Sus scrofa: one gene and its partners. The protein of the gene in region 1 purifies or fractionates together with the protein of each later gene. This does not show direct contact. Links are inferred from orthologs where the notes say so. Each region holds a gene or a part of one and is shown on either strand. Other genes may lie near its edges. The genes, in order: CAPN1, CAST and CAPNS1.

Region 1 (4,339 bases):
GTTTTTTTTTATTGCCATCCTATTGGGTTTGTAACTGGTATCTCACTGAAGTTTTGATTTGCACTTCCCTAATGACTAATGATGTTGAGTGTATTTTTAGGTATTGATTGGCCATTTGTATATATTCTTGGAGTGTCTATTCAAATAGTTTGCCCGTTTTTAGATACAGTTGTCTTTTGGTATGTTCTTTACATATTTCTTTATATATTTTGGATACGAGTCTTATGAGAAAGATGATTTGCATATGTTTTCTCCTATTTTGTGGGTTGTCTTTTTGTTTTCTTTTTTGTCTTTTTGCCTTTTCTAGGGCCGCTCCCACAGCATATGGAAGTTCCCAGGCTAGGGGTCGAATCGGAGCCGTAGCCACTGGCCTACATCACAGCCACAGCTACACGGGATCCGAGCCACGTCTGCGACCTACACCACAGCTCACGGCAACGCCGGATCCTTAGCCCACTGAGCAAGGCCAGGGATCGAACCTGCAACCTCATGGTTCCTAGTCGGATTCGTTAACCACTGAGCCACGACGGGAACTCCGTCTTTTTGTTTTCTTGATAGTGTCCTTTGAAGCACAGAAGTTTTTAATTTCGATGGTGGCCAGTTTTCTGTTTTCTCTTTTGTTGCTCATGCTTTTGGTGTCGTATCTAAGCATCCATTGCCCATCCTTGGAGTGCCTGTGGTGGGTCTCCAGGGTAAGGACCTGACATAGCATCCCTGAGGATGCAGGTTCCATCCCTGGCCTTGCTCAGTGGGTTAAGGATCTGGCATTGCCAAAAGCTGCACCTAGGCCGCAGATAAAGTTTGGATCCTGCGTTGCTGTGGCTCTGGTGTAGGCCAACAGCTGCAGCTCCGATTTGACCCCCTAGCCTGGGGACCTCTATATGCCGTGGGAGCGGCCCTAAAAAGGAAAAAAATTTTAAAAAGTTTTGCATATTCTGTCTAGCAATTGTTTGTTTTAGTCAAGAGGGTTGTTCCGCAGCTGAATCACTAAACTGCCAGATCTGCAAGTCCCTCTCAGGCCTCCTCTCAGACCCTGTGCTCCTTCCCCCCCTCCTCAGCCATTGTCCACACAGCAGCCCCCTTCTAAAACTTCAATCCAGGAGTTCCTGTTGTGGCTCATGGGTTAATGAACCTGACTAGCATCCGTGAGGGCACATGGGTTCAATCCATTACTGTGCCACAGCTCCAATTCCATCCCAGCCTGGGAATTGCCATATGCCGAGGGTGTGGCCCTAAAAAAAAAAAAAAAAAAAAAGACAGAAAATAAATAAATAAATATAACCTTAATCCAGTCACATCCCTCCCCCGTGCAGTCCTGATAGGGGCTCCTTTTGCTCTTTGATTCAACCCACACTTCGTGCCACTTCCCTGGTCGCCCGTGCTCACTGGAGCCCCATGTGTGGGTCTTCTCTCCTGCTCCTGCTTCCCAGGGATTTCCCCTTCAGGTCTCAGCTCAAATGTCATCTCCTCAAAAATGCTTTTCCTGCCCCACTCCAGCTTGCTTTCTTTGTAATTGGTTTTTTTTTTTCCGTCTTTTTAGGGCCGCACCTGTGGCATATGGAGGTTCCCAAGCTAGGGGTCGAATTGGAGCTACAGCTGCCGGCCTACGCCAGAGCCACAGCCACACAGGATTGGAGCCACATCTGCGACCTACACCACAGCTCACGGCAATATTGGATCCTTAACCCACTGAGCGAGGCCAGGGATCGAACCTGCATCCTCATGGATGCTAGTCAGATATGTTTCCGCTGCGCCACAACGGACACTCCTCGTTGTGATTGTTGATTCACCTGACTTGCTCAGATTCTGCCTCCCCTTGTGGCATGTGAGCTCATGAGGGCAGGGACCATGTGTGTCCCCACTCCTTATCTGTCACTTGGCACACAGTGGACTCTTAGTAATAGTTGTTGAATGAATGAATGAATGAATGAATGAGTAGACACATGGGGGGGAAGATTTGGTCGGGGGCTGCCTGGCCACTCCTCTGATCCCTGCTTCCCCACCTTCTGCAGCCACCTTCTGGGTGAACCCCCAGTTCAAGATCCGGCTGGAGGAGACGGATGACCCAGAGGACGACTACGGGGGCCGTGAGTCAGGCTGCAGCTTCGTGCTCGCCCTCATGCAGAAACACCGCCGCCGGGAGCGCCGATTCGGCCGGGACATGGAGACCATCGGCTTTGCCGTCTATGAGGTGAGCGGCTGGATGGATCCAGCCAACACTGCCGAGAAAGCCCGCCTCCTCGCCCACCACAAGCGAGCTCCGCCAGGGGGCGCCAGAGAACATGGCAGCACCTGCCCATCCTGAGCTCCTGAGGTGGGCAGCCCTGTCCCAGGGCTTGGGGAGGCACCTGCTGAGGCCCTCTGCCAAGATTGGGGCAGCCAGGGTCCTAAAATGCATCCGGTGAGGCGGCTGGAGGGGAAGGAAGATGCTTGGCTGGAAGAAGGGAAGATTCTGGGATTCCTCCCATCCTTAGAGGCCAAAAGGGTACCCTTGGTCAGTGGGCTCTGGCTTAGCTGACACCTGGGAGGCAGCTTCTGGCAGACAGACTTTGGCTGAGCTTTAGGAAGAAGTGGGCAAGTGGTCTGCCCTGGAGGAGTGGTGAGCTCCCTGTCTTGGAAGTATGTAAGCAGAGGCTGGCCATGGAGGGCCCTCCTTCACGGGCTATGTCCCAGGCAGAAACTTCTTGACCTCCCTGGGGATAAAGGATGGCCACGGCCTTGGCCCAGGCCCTGAGGCCCTGGCAGCAGATGTCCCTGGGCTGGAGGACGTGGCAGGTGGCTGCCCGGGGGCCTCTCCGAAGTCCAGCTCTGATTGAGAGCTGAGGTACGGGACATTCCAGGGACAAAGAGGACCCTTCGTGGGCCTCTCTTCTGGGGTCCTGGGACTTTTCTCTAGCATGAAAACAGGTCTGGGTCAACCCTGGCCCCACGACCAGGACCCCATCACCTGGTCCCCTTATCCCATGACTCTCATCCTGAGAATTCAGAGGCCCTGCCCAGCACACGCCCTGCCCCCTGCCCTGGGCAAAGCAAACATCTAACTTTCCTCGTCTCTCCTGACAGGTCCCTCCGGAGGTAGGTGTGCCATCTGACTCACCTGGATTTACACACCTTTGAACGCACCTGGCCCGATGGTGCTCAGAGCGGGCAGGACTGCGGCAAGCCCACACATAAAGCGCTGAGAAGTCACTTCGTTTTATGGCTCACAAAGTACCCCCATGCCCCTGCCCACTCTTCAGTGGGCAGAGCAAAGATTGTCCTCCTGGGGGTCAGAGCAGGTAGTAGGTAAGGGAGCTGGATTTGAACCCTGGTACTCAGAACACCACATACCCGCAAGGCTCTTCCTGTCTCAGTGTTTCTGCTGAGTAAGTGCTGGCTGAGGAGCGTGGCGGTGGATGGGCTGAATCTTCTGGACCCTTGAGCAAGTTGCTTAGGCACTCAGCCTCAGTGTCTATAAAATGGGCTGTCATGAGCACTAAATGAGGTGCCCCCCTGCAGTGCCTGGCACAGGGAGGCTCCAGCTCTGAATAATGCGTTATTTCATGGGGTCCATTCACCTCCACTGTGTGCAGTAGGCAGGGCTGTTACCCCCATTTTACAGATGAGGAAACTGAAGCAGGGTGACTTGTCAGGGTCAGGCGGCTCGTGGGGGGGCTGAGCTGTGAGCCAGCTCTGCAGCCCCTTGGTCAGAACTTGGAACCTGGGGTCTGGGTCTGGGTCTGGGGGCAGCTCCTCAGGGTGGGCTGCTGAGCAGGCAGCTGCAGCCCCCATTCCCTCCTCCCCTCCGGCCAGCTGGTGGGCCAGCCGGTGCACCTGAAGCGGGACTTCTTCCTGGCCAACGCCTCTCGGGCCCGGTCCGAGCAGTTCATCAACCTGCGGGAGGTCAGTACCCGCTTCCGCCTGCCGCCCGGCGAGTACGTGGTGGTGCCTTCCACCTTCGAGCCCAACAAGGAGGGCGACTTTGTGCTGCGTTTCTTCTCAGAGAAGAAAGCCGGGACCCAGTGAGTAGAGGCCCCAACCCACCCACTCCCCCGCCTCCCCACGCCCCTCCTGCTCCCCAGCTGACCAGCCCCTCTGTCTCCCCACCCTCTGCAGAGAGCTGGACGACCAGGTCCAGGCCATTCTCCCCGACGAGGTACGTGCCCTGCCCCCAGCAGCCACCCTCCTCCTCTCCCTCACCCTGGGAACCCGAGTGTCCTGTCCCCTGATCTCTGGCTGGCGGGGCACAGTCCCTCCTGGCAGGAGCCAGAGGAATAATACAAATCTCGCATTGGCCCAGCACTTAACAGTTTGCAAAGGACTTTGTGATAATAACGGCCCAGGGTCCCTGGGCTCTGGC
Region 2 (4,339 bases), about 96 Mb from region 1:
TGCTATATGTTTATAGAGTATGGTAGTGGGGAGTGTTTATCTTATGACATGCCAAGACCTTACAGCCTTCTGAGCCAAAGCAAGCTTGTATTTGGTGAAAAGAAGTTTTCAGATTAAATTAACATTTAAAGAATTGCTCAATTGAGTCCTGGGCCAGGTGGTGAGTGGTGGTGCCAGGCAGAGCGGGAGAGCAGAGAGCTGCCCCAGGGGGCACTCTTGGGAGGCTTTGTGGTGGAGGGACCCTCAGGAGCGCCAGTCTGTCAGCTCAGGGCAGGAGCTGGCCATTGTCGCTGTCACAATGCTGCTGCCTCTGCTGTCACTTCCTGTTCTGAGTCACTGGGGAAGTTGAGTCTCGGTGACTCCTAGCAACTCCCTGAGTCTGGGACCGTCCTGGTCCGACATGGGCCAGTTTCTCTCTTCGACTTTCTTTGAGGGCTCGCCTGGCACAGTGTGGCAGGACACGCTTTACGAAGGCGAACACAAGGGAGCAGGGGAAGTGGTCCTTGTCCTCCAGGACCAAGTAATGTATTGTAATGTATCGGGAGGAGGGGAAACTTTAGTTACTACACAATGCGAGGCGCACAATGTCTCAAGGAAAAGGGTGCTCCTGGCAGGACCTCAGGGGTCCACACCCAAGGGCTGTGTGGCAGCCACCCAGCCAATGGCGCTTCTGCCTCAGGCTATTTCTAGAGAATTAGGGTGGTTTAATAAGATGGTAATTTGGGAGGGGCAAGTATAAACAAATCGCAAAACAAAAAGACTCGTAGATTGACTAAAATCTTACATTATTTATTAAGCAGTTTGGATTTAGGGATGCATATCAGTGTATTAAATTTCCTCTAGAAAATTGGCCAACTCCTAAAATTTGAGCAAAAAAGAACTTTTCTGCTCCTTCCACGAGTTTCTACTTTTCCACTCATTTCCACTAGTTTAATTATCTAAAATGTATAAAGAAGATCTTCCAATCCCTTGGGACCTTAAGCTGAATTTTCAGTATCTGTTGAATTCACTCTTCCTGGATGGTCTGATGTGATGGCTCATATAGTCATGAGAGGCTGTAGGAGTCCATGGCTACTCCAGCATGCTCTGCACCAGATAATGCTTCAGAAAAGAGGTCCATGCCTGGTTGTCATTGTTATAATGTATCATAATGTAAGATATTTATTCTGTAGTGATACCTCCTTATTCATCTCCCCTAGTCTGGTATTGTTTCAATTCAGGGGATGTTTGTTTTCACTTGCTACTAAATAGAAACCACAGCATTTAAGGAATGTAAAGATAAAAGAGGAATAGAAAAGATCTAACTGTGCATGTGTGGCTCTCACTGACCACAAGTCCAAGTGAAGAGAACAGTCCTATACAGGTGACCCTTTCATAAAGACTGTTTATAGCTGGAGACCTCACAAATCCCTGAATTGAGGAGTGCCAGTATATCATAGGACTTCCTCTATATCCTGCAGAGGAATATAACCAGAATTTTTTTTTTTTAAATCTCTTCATCCCTTAATGATAATTATATTTCTATAGAACAATAAAATTATAACTCCAAAGCCTAGAAGAGTATTTGGCTTATTAAAACGATTCAGGAGTTCCTGCTGTGGCACAGTGGGTTAAGAATCTGACTGTAGCAGCTCAGGTCATTGCAGAGGCATGAGTTCAATCCCCAGCCCAGCACATTGCCTTAAAAAATCCAGCATTGCCGCAGCTGTGGTGTAGGTTGCCGCTGTGACTTGGATTGAGTCCCTAGTCCAGGAGCTTCCATATGCCATGGGTGTGGCCATGAAAAAAGTGTTCAATACACATTTTAAAATTAACCAATCAACTAAGCATTCAGTGGAGAACCATAGTCTTAGGCTGAGATTTAGATGGCAGTGATAGAGTGAGCTGAAATCAGCTAAGTACTTACCTCCACACATTCTTTTGTGCCAGGAGTTCCTTGATTTGTGATTTAAATCCTTGCCTCGATATAGGTACAAATTATTAAGCTCCATGGAACTTTGCATTACGCAGCAGTAGTTTAAAATATAAACGTTATATCCTAGAAGCCAGAGATCTGCTATGGACCTGCGCTTTTATTTCTTCTGCGTTTGGTTGTTCATGATTCAGTAGTCCACTGACATCTTGGTGTTACCAAAGGGAGTTCTTTTAAAAGAAGTAAAACCACTTATCTGTGGATCAAGCCAAGATTGGCGATGGGCTGCTTCACGCTTTTCTGAATTGTTTTGGACATTCATGAGAATTGGTTGTTTTTTTCCCCCTTAAATAACAGCATCATTGAGTAAGACTGATGTCTTTAAAGCAATTGCAACTAACTTGTGCACTGTGTTTAACTTTCTTCAAAGGGTATTTTATTTACTTTTCTTTGGTGATCTTATAAATGAGTGAGCTAGATAAGGATTCTTAATAGCCCCATTTTGCTGCTGAAGGAACCAAGCCAAAGAAGGTCTTAAGTGGTTTCCCAGGGTGATAGAGACCAGGCAGGGGCACCTCCCCAGGACTCCTGGCTGTGTTGTTTTCTCTGTCACCCTTCACTGCCTTCCTCCTAGCTGCTCACAAGGCACCTTAATCTGATTTGGTCTTCTCTAGGACACTCAGGGGGTATGCAGAGTGATGTCTTATTTTACATGTGTTATCCAAATGTGTTTTTTTTTCCTCCTCTTTCATCAGGCAAAAGCCAAAGAAGAGAAACTAAAGAAGTGTGGTGAAGATGACGAAACGGTCCCGCCAGAGTATAGATTGAAACCAGCCATGGTACGTTGTCAGCTACGATGCATGACAGCAGCTCAGTCTGCTGCCTTCACATTACGTTTTGTCCTGTCTGTCCCATGATGCTTAAGGACATGTCTGTCCTAGTTCAGATATTAACTCTGAAAACCCTGAACCCTTTATTCTGTGTCCTCTGTAGTGGGACACTTCAAAAGAGGGCTTTCTAAGTAGTGACGATGTGGTCATTAATTCAAGTGTTTCATCTGTTAACCATGCTTGATACAGATCTTTAACTTTAAAGGACAAATTTGGGAATCATATTTTCTCTATCAGCCATATGAATAGAAGCATATAGATCTTCTAAGTGATAGATAAATATACAGTGATTTACCAGCATCCTCAGTGAAAGGTGGTTTTGTCGTTATTGGTTTTGGTTTGATGTGAGGATGGTGGACTTATTCCTGTAATTATATTTATAGTTAAGCTTTGAAATAATGCACATAAACAAATGATGGAAAATAGTTGTGATGCTTATGGATGCAAAGTTTCTCCTTTTATAGGAACATTCTAAATTGTGAGTATCCAAAAAGCTAAAACAGTTTTATAGAAATGAGACCTACAGAAACTAAAGCAGTTTTACAGAAATGAGACCTACCAAAAAGCTAAAACTGTTTTATAGGAAAGAGATCTACCTCTTCACCCTGAATTGGAAAATGGAAACTTTTTTTTTTGTCTTTCATTGATGTCACTGCATCTTTCTTGCCAAAGAACTTTTTTAAAAATTCTGTTTCCCTGTCCCAAAAGATGGAAATTTCTTTTAAAGAAAAGTAATTGCATTATATTTAATAGCATTTAGTCTCTTGATTTTTCCAGTTCAACTCATTCTTCTGATACTTTATTAAAAATTAATTTGAAACAAACTCATTCAGGTACATGGGAAAAAATAATATCTCCTCTTATATCCTGGAATTCCTAAAACAAACTTAATGGGATAAGAAAGAAAAATTTTCTATTTCGTTTTAAGTGAATTTTCAATTTCGTTTACAGGATAAAGATGGAAAACCACTCTTGCCAGAGGCTGAAGAAAAACCCAAGGTTAGGATAAGGTTTTTTTTTTCTGATACTTAAAAAACAATAGAACTATAAGGTATAAATTGAGACAATATTGGCAGAGACTTGCATGCCAGCCTAGTATTAAGAAGAGAGGAACTTCTGAGAGCAACACTTGGATTCTATTTCTGACTCCTTTTTACATATTTTCCTGACTATTTGCCTCATGAATTATCCCTACATGGTTACAAGTTTCTAGGTAATGTTTATTGAATATTAGGAGCTGATGTCAGGAGGGTCCTTAAATTAGGTTTTTAGCACTTGGTTTGATCCCAATCACAGCACCAAAAGCTCAATGATTCTGTACTGCCTTTATGTAATATGATGTTAACCAGCATAGTTACCTGTCAGGATGACACTAAGCAGCTATATTCAGTAGTCACTTACTGTGTGCCTGACACTGTGCTAAATGGTGTTCGTGTGCTACCGTTTTGAGTCCTTGCTGAATGAGGAGGGCACTACTATTACTCCCATTTTATAGATAAGGCAATTGAGACTTGAGTTCTGTTAATAACCCAAAGTC
Region 3 (4,961 bases), on another chromosome or scaffold:
ATAAAATTCTTCAAGGAGTTCCCGTTGTGGCTCAGCAGTAATAAACACAACTAGTATCCGTGAGGATTCGGATTTGATCGCTGGCCTTACTCGGTGGGTTAAGAATCTGGCATTGCCATGAGCTGTGGTGAAGGTCGAAGATATGGCTTGGATCCCATGTTGCCGTGGCGTAGGCCAGCAGCTGTAACTCCAATTCGACCCCTAGCCTGGGAACTTCCATATGCCACAGATGCAGCCCTAAACAGCAAAAAAAAAAAGGAAGGAAGGAAATCCCATCTTCACCAAGGCCTCCCCAAGACTGCCCTCAAGGATACATCCATCACAGCCACCATGCTTCGACATGTGTCAATGCCAAAACCATCAGTCTTCAGATCAGGGTCTGTGGGGAACAGGTTGAAAATCAGAGGTCAGAGATCACAGCTGCCCCAGCCACCATGCCCCTAAGCCTGCCCCATGTGTTGACGCCGGACACTCACGTCGGGTCACGACCTTGTTGAGAATGTTCATGAGTTCCGTGGCACTGACCTCCATGTCCTGAGGGGAAAAGTTAGGAATGGGTCGGGGTGACTGGAAGGGGTCTGTGCGTGTCATGAGGGAGGATGGGAACTTGAGGATTGTACACGTAAAGGGCAGCCCAAGGGAAGGCACCGGAGGATTCCGACAGGTCTGGGGACCCCAGGTTACTTACATCTCCAGCCAGCTGGGCAAAGAGCCTCCGAAACTGCCGGACCTCCTCACTCTCATTGGCCTCAATGTTGGAATAATGGGTGCGAGGGGGCTGCAGAAGGAGGAGATCTCAGAGCAGGAAGGGAGAGGGGTGTCCTGGCCAGGACAGCCCTAAATGGGAAAGTCAGAGTGGGCTGGGAGGTTGAGTGACCAGAGAATGAGAGGTGGCCAGTGATTAGGGAGCGGATACCACTAAGTTTGGGGACATGACAAGGGGGAGACTTCATGAGATAAATTTCATAAGGAGAGGTGTGGGGCTTTTTTCAGAGGGACAAGGACGGGTGCTGGAAAAGGCCTCCGAATGAGAAGGGGTCTCCGACTGCGAAGGGCGGCTTGAGTGCGAAGGGCGGCTTACCGGGGGCTCGGGGTTGTACTGCGCAGCCGCCTCACTGAAGGGAAACGGGAGAAGTTAGTGTAGAGCCAGGGGGCGGGGCCTCCAACTGGCAGCTCCAGCCCCACGACCCAGCCCACCAAGCCCCACCGCGTAGCCTGCCAGCCTACCTACCAGCTCCCTCCGCCTGCCTCATCAGTCTTTGCCCTCACCTGTCCCTATCCTTGCTGCCCTGGTTGTGCCCCCTACACAGTGGCGGATCTCTCAAAAGACAAAGCCCCTTCGAGGGCATACTTCCTAGAAGCCCGGCCCCAGCTTTCCCAGGGCCCACCTTCCTCAGGTCTCACCTGTCTAGGAACCTACTCCATCTCCACGGCTTCTGAACACTTGCGTCCTCCCAAGATCCCACCCCAGCTCCGTGAGTTCTCACTCCTTCAAGGGATCACATTCAGGGGCCAAAACTAACTAGGCCCCTACCGACCACCCGCCCTACCTCCCTCAGGACATTTTTCTATTTTAATCCAGCCAGTTCCTGGCCAGGCCCTGTCCCTTCAAGTCCTTTTCCCCTATCCCATTAAGCCTGGCCTTCTTCTGGGCACACCCCTGAACGCACCTACGAGGGCTATGCCGCGCCCCTAGGTAAGCTTTGCCCCAGTGAAGTGACACCCGGCTTCAGTAGCTCCGCCCCCTTAACGTTAGTCTCCAGGTTAGCGGAAGGAGGCTGCACCTGGCCATTAAGCCCCACCTGGCCCATCAAATTGTGTCTCCCACCACAGTCAAAACTACTCCCATATCAAGTCCCGCTCCCTGAACTCAATACAGTCGGCCTCCTCAAGGCCGGTCTGCTGGCCCAGACCAGCCCCAGCCTAATTAATGTTCCGGGTCCGGGTCTAAGTTACCCCATTCTATTCTTGCGGGACCAGCCTCCTCCTCCAGGCCCCGCCCCTCTGCAGGCCCCGCCTTACCTGATGGCGCTAATAACCCCGCCCAGGATGCGCATGGCAGTTCCGCCACCACCGCCGCCGCCTCCTCCGCCACCGCCGCCGCCACCGCCGCCTCCGGCCCCGCTGATCAGGCCTCCGAGCACATTCCCTAGGCCCCCGCCCAAGCCCCCGCCTCCCCCGCCGCCGCCGCCGCCACCCTTCAGGAACGAGTTAACCAGGAACATGGCTGTGACTCAAGATTCCTGAGGGGGAGAAAAAAGGAGTCAAGTTGCTGTCCCGTCCCTAAGCCCGCCCCTTCCCCCCCAAATACACGCATTTCTGGCTGCTGGACTGGGGGAAGTAATAAGAAGCCTCTGACTGGGGCTCGAGGGTTCATTCAGGATAGGGCCTGGGCTTCTGGGGGAGGGTGTCTCGGATGGGTGGCATAAAGTCGGATTATCTGGTTTGAAACCTCTTCCCGGTCCAAAGAGTCCATATCTGGCTCGAAGGACCCTGGACTGAGTATACGCATAGGCATCATTAAGCACCAGACACCAGCCAAGTCAAGTGGGGTTCTCGAGATGGGGGCCCCAAGCAGGCGCTCTAATCTGGGATTCAGAGCCCCAAAACTGATGTAGAGGTCTGGGGCGGATCAGGGCGTGGATCAGAAATTCTCTGCCTGGAGGCCCCAGGGCCAGGATTTAGGGAAGCCAGAATGTAAGCTTGCGGGTTTAGGTACAAACAGCAGCGAGATAACAGTGTCATTGCTGGGTCTGTGGGTTCGGGTCTAAGACTGTGGGTGTGAGCCCCGGGGTCCGAGATAACGGAGTCCCCATTAGAACTGAGATCGGATCTAGGATCGCGATTCTGGAGGCCGCACCCAGAGCTGAATTTACCGGCTACCTCTCAAATCCATGCTCCTACTTCAGAACCTGAGAGGGAGGGTGGAAGAGTCTCCGGGGCGGGATAACTGGGGCCAGACAGATCTAGGGGTTTGAACATGGGTCTAGGGGACTCCTGAGACCAAAATTGTAGGATCTCTATGGTTTTGGAGGCCGCCAGGGCCGGGCTTAGGGAGACCAGGGGGGAAGTCCGGACTGGGCGCTCACCGCCTCGTTCACGCGTCCGCGGGTCCGCTTCTCTGTGCAGCTCCTGGGCCTCCGGCTGCGTCCGGCTCCGCAGGGCGGGGCGGGTGACTCAGGCGGCCCGGGCAGGGTTAGGCTATGCAGGGCGGCCCGGACGGATTCCGCGCGGTCCTAGAGCCGGTATTAAAACTGCGCAGGCGCCTGCTGGCCCCGCCCAGTGTAACAGGGTGCGGCTGCTGAGAATTCGCTGTGCGTTTCCTGAGCCGCAGTTCTGACGCCGCCCGGAGTTCATAGACTGGAAATCTTTCTCTACGCCTTTCGGTCCCCAATGCAGGCACTCGGGGACCAGGACTCCGAGGTGACCCGAACAGTCGCCAAGCCTAAATGTTGTAGTGTGAATTGTCGTCCCAAAGCCAAGCCTCCAGATGTTTTTGGTCTGCTCGGATAGGGATTCTTGGGACTCTTGGCACTTGTACCCTATCCTAGCCTTGTCGCGACAGACAGCGTCTGGAGACCCCGGATTTTGTTTTGCTCACAGTCTGAGGACAAGCGCCCTCATCTGTGTGGGGGGACCCTGCAGGCACAGCCCTGATGGCAGCCCAGTTACTCCCAGGAATGGGACTTCTTTGTTCCTCCACCTGCACCCCTTTACCCCCTGGGTCAGGGTCACCAGAATCATTTTACTTGGATGGACCAAAAAAAATCATTTTACCTGGTCTCAGTCTTCCAGTCTCTAAAGAGGGTCCAGACACTGGAAGAGGCTGGGGGCCACAGCCTGGTTTCTGAAGCTTGATGTTCCCAAGGTCAGGTGGTGGGCAGGGTGGGGAATGCAACTGAAAGGAAAAATGGCAACTGAAGCAACCCTTGGAGCCCTTTTGCTTGCTCTCTAGTTGCAACCTTCAACCTGTGAGCGCCCAGTACTCTTTCAAGGCTCCTTCAGGCACACTGGCTGGCTGTCCAGCCCTTAGCCTCTTCCTGGGAAGCTGGTTCAGCTGGAGTTTGAATCCTGACTTTGCCTCTTAATAATTTGGGGTCCCATAACAGTGATTTAAACAATGATTTTCTAATCTGTAAAATGCCAACAAGGGTTTCCATGTCCCCACTTCTAGGCCTCTACGAGAATTTTGTGGTAAATGTTTAGTAAACAGTAGCTGTTGGAGTTCCTCTTGTGGCTCAGTGGGTTAAGAACTCAACTAGCATCCATGAGGATGCGGGTTAGATCCCTGGCCTTGCTCAGTGGGTTAAGGATCTGGTGTTGCTGCAAGCTGTGGCATAGGTCATGGATGTGGCTCAGATCTGGGGTTGCTGTGGCCGTGGCGTAGGCCCGGAAACTTTCATATGCCATGGGCGCAGCCCTAAAAAGACAAAAAAAAAAAAAAAAAAGAAGAAGAAGAAGAAGCTGTTAGCCTCTGTGTCTGTACCTGTGGTGTTCCCTCCTCCTGGAGGCCACCTGGGTCATCTCTTGTTCATCCTTAGATAATACTGATAAAAAAAATAACTGGGGAGTTCTTTTGTATGCATCAGATTGTCATCACAGCGGCCTGGGTCACTGCTGTGGTGTGGGTCCCATCCCTGACTCTGGAATTTCCACATGCTGCCAGCACGGCCAAAAAACAAAAACAAAACAAAGCAAAAAACTAACTGCCAAGCACCCTACTAAGTACCTTACATATATCGGCTCACATGTCCTCGTACCAGTCCTATGGGACGGATGCTATATGTTATCTCCATTTTACAAATAAGTAAACTGACTCTGGGTAAATTCCCTAGCCTGTACTCTTAAGCACTAACCTAATGCATTCTCTCTTCCGTAATACAATGAATATTAACAAGATCGCAACAGACAGGAGTTCCTGTCATGGCTCAGTGTTTAACGGATACTTCATGACTAGTATC

Evidence for each region.
Region 2: the proteins of CAPN1 (region 1) and CAST purify together in Homo sapiens (co-immunoprecipitation; 4 studies listed by BioGRID and IntAct, counting the BioPlex papers as one, with this or other methods). This does not show direct contact. The link is inferred for Sus scrofa from reciprocal best matches to the Homo sapiens genes CAPN1 and CAST.
Region 3: the proteins of CAPN1 (region 1) and CAPNS1 purify together in Homo sapiens (co-immunoprecipitation; 4 studies listed by BioGRID and IntAct, counting the BioPlex papers as one, with this or other methods). This does not show direct contact. The link is inferred for Sus scrofa from reciprocal best matches to the Homo sapiens genes CAPN1 and CAPNS1.

What each region holds. Positions count from the first base shown.
Region 1 is NC_010444.4:7,002,220-7,006,558, reverse strand, and holds part of CAPN1 (calpain-1 catalytic subunit), read left to right. Parts: intron 1-1,354; exon of another isoform or gene 1,355-1,464; intron 1,465-2,012; coding exon 2,013-2,191; intron 2,192-3,063; coding exon 3,064-3,075; intron 3,076-3,792; coding exon 3,793-4,001; intron 4,002-4,095; coding exon 4,096-4,135; intron 4,136-4,339. UniProt on the Homo sapiens protein: Calcium-regulated non-lysosomal thiol-protease which catalyzes limited proteolysis of substrates involved in cytoskeletal remodeling and signal transduction. Proteolytically cleaves CTBP1 at 'Asn-375', 'Gly-387' and 'His-409'.
Region 2 is NC_010444.4:103,339,526-103,343,864, forward strand, and holds part of CAST (calpastatin), read left to right. Parts: intron 1-2,667; coding exon 2,668-2,751; intron 2,752-3,753; coding exon 3,754-3,801; intron 3,802-4,339.
Region 3 is NC_010448.4:45,509,587-45,514,547, reverse strand, and holds the start of CAPNS1 (calpain small subunit 1), read right to left. Parts: upstream 3,139-4,961; 5' UTR 3,090-3,138; intron 2,244-3,089; 5' UTR 2,226-2,243; coding exon 2,023-2,225; intron 1,116-2,022; coding exon 1,082-1,115; intron 779-1,081; coding exon 689-778; intron 535-688; coding exon 477-534; intron 380-476; coding exon 315-379; intron 1-314. UniProt on the Homo sapiens protein: Regulatory subunit of the calcium-regulated non-lysosomal thiol-protease which catalyzes limited proteolysis of substrates involved in cytoskeletal remodeling and signal transduction. Essential for embryonic development.